Linked DNA regions of Mus musculus. The protein of the gene in region 1 interacts with the protein of each later gene in a pairwise test. Links are inferred from orthologs where the notes say so. Each region holds a gene or a part of one and is shown in the gene's direction. Other genes may lie near its edges.

Region 1 (3,773 bases):
TTGCTTAGACAAGCCGAAAGCTGAGACACCTGCCAAAAAAGCACCCCCATCTTTGCATGTGTTCTTCCCAGCCCTGTGGGCGTCTTCCGGGGCAGTCACAGCACTAAACAACATGGACCCATCAGAGCAGCCCAGGCTCAGTCAGCGCTGGTTTCCTGTGGTCTCTGGAAAGGCTGTCTTCTCCAACTGTTTCCCAGGCTCCACTAGGGCAGTGGGACTGGGTCAGGAGGTGCCTAGAGATGCACAGGGATAGTATGAGCGGCCCTGTGTCTGCAGCTTCCTGCATGCCAGCTAAGCACTGGTACCAGGAAAACAGCATCCTCCTCTCCTGCAGACCCACTAAAGTCAGTTGGCCAGGGGAAGGGGTGCTGGTACCTGAACTCAAAAAGGCCCCCAGGGCTCCCATCATGGGCTGATGGACAGTGGCTTGGTTGAATGGGACCAGGCAAGACAAAGTATGATTCTGATAGGCGTTCATAAGAGGCATTTACTCAGCAGAAACCACATTTCTGGTTTTTTTAAACAGTTGTGATTCTAAACCTATACTTATACTGATTAGAAGCTGACTGGTCAACCCCACAGAACACGTAAGAGTACTCTAGGGACTGTCTTAGCCAGGGTCACTATTGCTGCGATGACTAAAGTCACCGTGACTAAAGAAACCTGGGGAGGAGAGCGTCTCCTTAGCGTATGCTTCCACATTGCAGAAGCATCAAAGATCAGAACAGGAGCTGGAGCAGGGCAGGGACCTGGAGGCAGGAGCTGCTGCAGAGGTCGTGAAGGAGTGCTGCTTACAGGCATGTTCCCCATGGCTTAGTTGGCCTGCTTTCTTATAGAACCTGTGACCACCATCCCGGGGATGGCCCCAGTCACAACAGGCTGGGCGCACCCCATCAGGCACTGGTTAAAACGATGCTCCACAGGTTCGTCTACAGCCTTGTCCCACGGAGGCTCTTACAGTCTCTTCTCAGATGACTGTAGCTGTGTCATAAAGCTATCCAGCACACACAGGTGCCAAAGGAGCTTGTTTGGAAGGTTTGCGTGTGAACTGAGGGTGTTCCTCAGTGTGAATCGCTTGCCGAGCAGTTGTCGGTCACATGTGCTAACACATATCTGTAACTCCGGGTCCTCCTTAGAGACAGAGGAAGTGGTGGCAGGAGAATCCTCAGAAATTTAGGGGCCAGCTAGCATGACATACACAGCAGTGAAAAACAGAGACGCTACCTCAGACAAGCTTGGAAGGAAGGAAGGAAGGACTGGGGTTGTCCTCTGACCTCTCTGTATGCTGCTGCACGGGCACACGTGTGTGTGGCCTTAAAGTTTACATAAACAAGTAAGTCCAAGTTGTAGAGCCATGGATCATCTCCCTCCCCGTGGAGGCCGCACACAAGCTGTCCCGTCCTCCCGTCGGCTCTCATGCTGTGGGGGAGAGGCTGCTGCAGGAGTGTGGGCTAGGAAAGGCCGGTGATGAGCAACTGTGTGTGTGTCTTCCCTCGGTGTCATTACTGACGCTCTGGATAGTCATCTCCTGGTAAGCCAGAGTGCCCCTAATATCTGTGACCCTCAGAGTCTCTCCACCTTCTTCAGTAGGACTGCAGTGTGGAGAGATCGATCCTCTGCTCACCTTGTTCTGATGCTCATCTCTGCTAGTCTTAGGACAGATGTACAGTCTACCTCAGTCCTAGAGGCTGAGGGAAGGAAGTCTCATAGAATTGGCCACAGCGCCGGACAGCACAAAGGCTTTTGTTTGTTTTGTTTTCCAAGACAAGGTCTCTCTGTGTAGCCCTGGCTGTCCTGGAACTCACTCTGTAGACCGGGCTGGCCCTGAACTCAGAGATTTGCTTGCCTCTGCCTCCCAAGTGCTGGGATGTAGCCACCTCTGCCCAGCTATGTCACTCATATTTTAAGAACACCCACATGAAGTTTTGTAAAGGCCATCTTTCTCTGTCACAACAGCTGATTGTCATGCCCCCATGGGACAGCTGACATCTTCCCCTCAGCAGGTCTGACCCTTGGCGTTGTCATTCTGCTGACATTGGAGGGACTCCACAACCTTAATAAGTTTTAGAATGAGGAAAGCAGGGTCGTTCCAGCCCTTGCCCCTCTGGGCCCAGGGAGAGACTTGATAGTGACAAGCTCAGACATGATACTGCTGACAAGGCCAGGCTGTAGGGAATGCCACCATTTTGTCTTCTGCCCTCCGGTGGCACTGAGCTCCATGCTGCCTGTGCCATGAAGGCCGAGGGTGCAGAAGCCCATGGGGAGCCTCCCCACAGAGGCCCAGCCAGCCGAGGGCAGTGTTGGCTGGGCGCTGTTGCTCATTCTTCCCTGTTTCAGATGCACTGGACAGTGAGCCTGCTGTATCGCCACTGCTTCCTCGGAAAGAGCGCGGGCCCCCAGACGGCAGCCTAAATGAAGATGAGCGCCTTCTCCCCAGAGACAGAAAGACCAACCTGTTCAGCGCTTTGATCAAGAAGAAGAAGAAAATGGCGCCGACGCCCCCTAAGCGCAGCAGTTCCTTCCGAGAGATGGATGGCCAGCCAGACCGCAGAGGGGCTAGTGAGGATGACAGCAGGGAACTCTGCAATGGACCACCAGCTCTCACCTCAGACGCAGCAGAGCCTACCAAGTCCCCAAAGGCCAGCAATGGGGCTGGCGTCCCTAATGGAGCCTTCCGGGAGCCGGGCAACTCAGGCTTCCGTTCTCCCCACATGTGGAAAAAGTCCAGCACACTGACCGGGAGCCGCCTGGCTGCTGCCGAAGAGGAGAGCGGCATGAGCTCCAGTAAGCGCTTCCTGCGTTCTTGTTCGGCCTCCTGCATGCCCCATGGGGCAAGGGACACAGAGTGGCGGTCGGTCACGCTGCCTCGAGACCTGCCGTCTGCTGGCAAGCAGTTTGACTCATCCACCTTTGGAGGGCACAAAAGCGAAAAGCCAGCTCTGCCTCGGAAACGCACCAGTGAGAGCAGGTCTGAGCAGGTGGCCAAAAGCACGGCGATGCCCCCTCCCCGGCTGGTGAAGAAGAACGAGGAGGCTGCTGAAGAAGGCTTCAAAGACACAGAATCCAGCCCTGGCTCCAGCCCTCCCAGCTTGACTCCCAAACTCCTCCGCAGGCAGGTCACTGCCTCTCCTTCCTCTGGCCTCTCTCACAAGGAAGAGGCCACCAAGGGCAGTGCCTCAGGCATGGGGACTCCGGCCACTGCAGAGCCAGCACCCCCCAGCAACAAAGTGGGCCTCAGCAAGGCCTCCTCTGAGGAGATGCGCGTAAGGAGGCACAAGCACAGCTCGGAGTCCCCAGGGAGAGACAAGGGGCGACTGGCTAAGCTCAAGCCTGCCCCGCCGCCTCCTCCTGCCTGCACAGGAAAAGCAGGCAAGCCCGCACAGAGCCCCAGCCAAGAGGCCGGGGAGGCAGGGGGGCCCACAAAGACAAAATGCACGAGTCTGGCTATGGATGCTGTGAACACTGACCCCACCAAGGCCGGCCCACCTGGAGAAGGACTGAGAAAGCCTGTGCCCCCATCTGTGCCAAAGCCCCAGTCGACGGCTAAGCCTCCAGGGACTCCCACCAGCCCGGTCTCCACCCCCTCCACAGCACCAGCTCCTTCACCCCTGGCTGGGGACCAGCAGCCATCTTCTGCCGCCTTCATCCCCCTCATATCAACCCGTGTGTCTCTTAGGAAGACCCGCCAGCCGCCAGAGCGCATTGCCAGTGGCACCATCACCAAGGGTGTGGTTCTGGACAGTACTGAGGCCCTGTGCCTTGCCATCTCCCGG
Region 2 (3,811 bases), on another chromosome or scaffold:
GTGATCATTAAGCAAAGGAGTTAACAAAGCCCCATGGTCACTGTCTTAGTCAGGGTTTCTATTCCTGCACAAACAACGTGACTTAGAAGCAAGTTGGGGAGGAAAGGGTTTATGCAGCTCACACTTCCACATTGCTGTTCATCACCTAAGGAAGTCAGGACTGGAACTCAAGCAGGCCAGGAAGCAGGAGCTGATGCAGAGGCCATGGAGGGATGTTACTTACTGGCTTGCTTCCCCTGGCTTGATCAGCTTGCTTTCTTATAGAACCCGGGGCTACTAGCCCAGGGATGGCACCACCCACTGTGGGCCCTCCCTCCTTGATCACCAACTAAGAAAATGCCCCACAGCTGGATCTCATGGAGGCATTTCCCTAACTGAAGCTCCCTTCTCTAATAACTCCAGCCTGTGTCAAGTTGACACACAAAACCAGCCAGTACAGTCACTGTTTCTTATATTGTCTGAGCCCAGTGACAAATGCCAAATTCCTAGAAGTGGCAGTAAAAGCTCTTAACACAACAGGGAGAGAGAGTGACACTGGGCCTGGCTTGAGTATCTGAAACCTCAAAGCCCACCCCCAGTGACACACTTCTACCAACAAGACGACAACCTGTGGGCCTATGGAGACCATTTTCATTCAAACCACCACATTTATTTACTAACTTTGTGTTTGTTTGTTTGTTTGTTTGTTTGTTTTGAGATAGGGTTTCATTATGTAGCCCTATCTGGAATAGAACTCTTTATGTAAACCCTAATGGCTTAACATTCATAGAGACGCTGGGCGGTGGTGGCACATGCCTTTATCCCAGCACTTGGGAGGCAGAGGCAGGCAGATTTCTGAGTTCGAGGCCAGCCTGGTCTACAGAGTGAGTTCCAGGACAGCCAGGGCTACAGAGAAACCCAGTCTCGAACAAACAAAAACCACAACAACAACAAAAATTTTTATTGTCTAGCTTGAGACAGGGTCTCACTGTGTAGCAATGTACTTCCTGTAACTTGCTGTGTAGAGTAGGCTAGCCTCAAACTTGTAGCAGCCCTTTTGTCTCTGCCTTATAAGCACTGACATTTGCTTGTTTGGTTGCTTAGACACAGGATCTCAAAATATAGCACAGGCTAGCCTTAAATGCACTATGACATCTCAGTTGATCTTGAATTTGTGATCCATCTGCCTCAGTTTCCAGAGTGCTGGGATTACAGACTTTCGACATCACACCCAATTGAGACCTTGTGCCCCCAAAGCAAAAGAAGCACAAGGCTATCCTGGGCTACAGAGTGAGTTAGAAAGCTGTGTGGGGGGGGCTGGTGAGATGGCTCAGTGGGTAAGAGCACCCCACCCGACTGCTCTTCCCAAGGTCCAGAGTTCAAATCCCAGCAACCACATGGTGGCTCACAACCATCTGTAACAAGATCTGACGCCCTCTTCTGGTGTGTCTGAAGACAGCTATGGTGTACTTACATATAATAAATAAATAAATCTTTAAAAAAAAAAAAAAAAAAAAAAAAAAAAAAAAGAAAGCTGTGTGGGTAACTTAGTGTGATATTATCTCAGAGTAAACGTTGGGTTGCAGCTTAGCAGTGGTGCATGGTGACAATGAGAACAAGGGAGCTACACCCTTGATTCAAGCCCCAGTTCATTAATTTGCTGTGAGAGTTGAGGCTGCCATTGCCTCTTGTGCTTCAGACTGCTCATCTGTGAGCTGAAGGTGGAGGTAGTGCCCACCCCACAGGGCTCTGACTCACAAGGAAATCTAGAACGTGGTCTGGCACATCAGTGCGGGTCACTGCGTCTCCCTCCTCTGTTCATTTGCTCTCTGTTCTCAGCTGACTTTGGAGTTTTTATTTAAGGCCCACCTCCTTTCCTTTTCTGTGAAAAGGCTTCCCAAACAGCCTCAGGCCCCGCCAGACTTGTTTGAAATTCTTGGACTTTGTCAGTTGTTCAACTCTGTCTGCTTTATCGGGGCTACTGAGTCTGCTGCTCGTCCCAGCCCTTGACTTGTGCAGTTTATGCAGCTCTTCTACAGAAGGACACTCCCTCTGGTGCTATGCTCTGTCCATAGCTTAACCTGTGGTCACATCAGCTCCCAGTCACTGACCTTGCCCTGGAGAATTAGTTCTCAGGGACACTGGCCTCCCTCTGCTTCTTCTAACATACTTCCTCCCTGACTTCTAAAACCCTTTTTTCTGTTTTGGTTTTGTTTTTTTCGAGACAGGGTTTCTCTGGGTATCCCTGGCTGTCCTGGAACTCACTCTGTAGACCAGGCTGGCCTCGAACTCACAGAGATCCACCTGTCTCTGCCTCCCAAGTGTTGGGATCAAAGGCGTGCACCACCATGCCCAGCCTGATTGTTTTCTTGTCCTCCTCTTGCAGAAGTTTAATTTAATAATAATCTGTTCTCTCCATCAGTTTTTCCTTTCTTTCTTTTCTTCCTTTCTCTTCCTTTTTTTTTTTTTTTTAGATTTATTTATTTATTATATGTAAGTACACTGTAGCTGTCTTCAGACACACCAGAAGAGGGAGTCAGATCTCGTTACGGATGGTTGTGAGCCACCATGTGGTTGCTGGGATTTGAACTCTGGACCTTCGGAAGAGCAGTCGGGTGCTCTAACCCACTGAGCCATCTCACCAGCCCCCTTTTTTTTTTTTTTTTAAGATTTTTATTTATACGAGTACAGTGTAGCTGTCTCAGACACACCAGAAGAGGGCATCAGCTCTCATTGCAGATGGTTGTGAGTCACCATGTGGTTGCTGGGATTTGAACTCAGGACCTTTGGATGGCTTAACCACTGAGCCATCTCTCCAGCCCTCTTTCTTTTCTCTCTCTCTCTCTCTCTCTCTCTCTCTCTCTCTCTCCCTCTCTCTCTCTCTCCCTCTCTCTCTCTCTCTCTCTCTCTCTCTTTCTTTCTTTCTCTTTGCTTGTTTTTTGAGACAGAGTCTCCTGTGTAGCCCTGGCTGTCCTGGAACTCACTCTGTAGACCAGGCTGTCCTGGAACTCACAGAGATCCACCTGCCTCTGCCACTCAAGTGCTGAAATTGTAGGCATGCACCATCATGCCCCACTCTCTATGTGTTTTTTTATCTGTGTCTCTGTGTGTGTGTGTGTGTTCTTGCCTTTGGTAACCTCTCAGTGTTCACCATTGGTCCTTGTGTTTCTCGTTCTGTCCATGTCACCTGGGTGGGGTCACCTTCTCAGTCATCTCTCCCACAGACTGTGTACAGTGCTCTCGGCCTGAGGGATGCCTGCCGTTCTCTGCCACAGTCCATCCAGCTTTTTCAGGACATTGCCCAGGAGTTCTCTGACGACCTGCATCACATTGCCAGCCTCATCGGGAAGGTGGTGAGCGGAAGCCAGACACCCGAGGAGGAGGAAGAGGAGGAGGAGGAGGAGGAGGAGGAGGAGGAGGAGTGGGACAGGATGGAGGAGTAGAAAGGGTCTGGGGTTTGGAGTATGTGGTGTGGGAGGTGGGGGCGCATGGGAGATGTGGGGTCACCTGGTGACAAAACAACATGCTGAGAGGAAGTGTCTGAAGATGAGGATTAAAGGGGGATCTGGGGCCCAAGGAGAACGGGGGACAGAACAGAGAGAGGGTGCTGGGTGCTAAGAAACTGGACGTCTAATCTGTCTCCTCAGGTGGACTTTGAGGAAAGTCTTGCTGAAAATCGCTTCACAGTCCTCCCTAACATAGACCCTGACATAGATGCCAGTGAGTGCTGGGCGTGTGGGTCCTAGGCCTGGGGGTCCTGGGGCAGTCATTCGATCCATGCGCAGCTAGACACATACATGGGAATCAGCCTGCAGCCAGAAGACAGCTCTTC

The links.
Region 2: the proteins of Abl1 (region 1) and Msh5 interact in binary tests that used the Homo sapiens proteins (3 or more experiments, as listed by UniProt). The link is inferred for Mus musculus from reciprocal best matches to the Homo sapiens genes ABL1 and MSH5.

What each region holds. Positions count from the first base shown.
Region 1 is NC_000068.7:31,797,869-31,801,641, forward strand, and holds part of Abl1 (tyrosine-protein kinase ABL1), read left to right. Parts: intron 1-2,337; coding exon 2,338-3,773. UniProt on the Homo sapiens protein: Non-receptor tyrosine-protein kinase that plays a role in many key processes linked to cell growth and survival such as cytoskeleton remodeling in response to extracellular stimuli, cell motility and adhesion, receptor endocytosis, autophagy, DNA damage response and apoptosis.
Region 2 is NC_000083.6:35,033,111-35,036,921, reverse strand, and holds part of Msh5 (mutS protein homolog 5), read left to right. Parts: intron 1-3,203; coding exon 3,204-3,332; intron 3,333-3,626; coding exon 3,627-3,699; intron 3,700-3,811.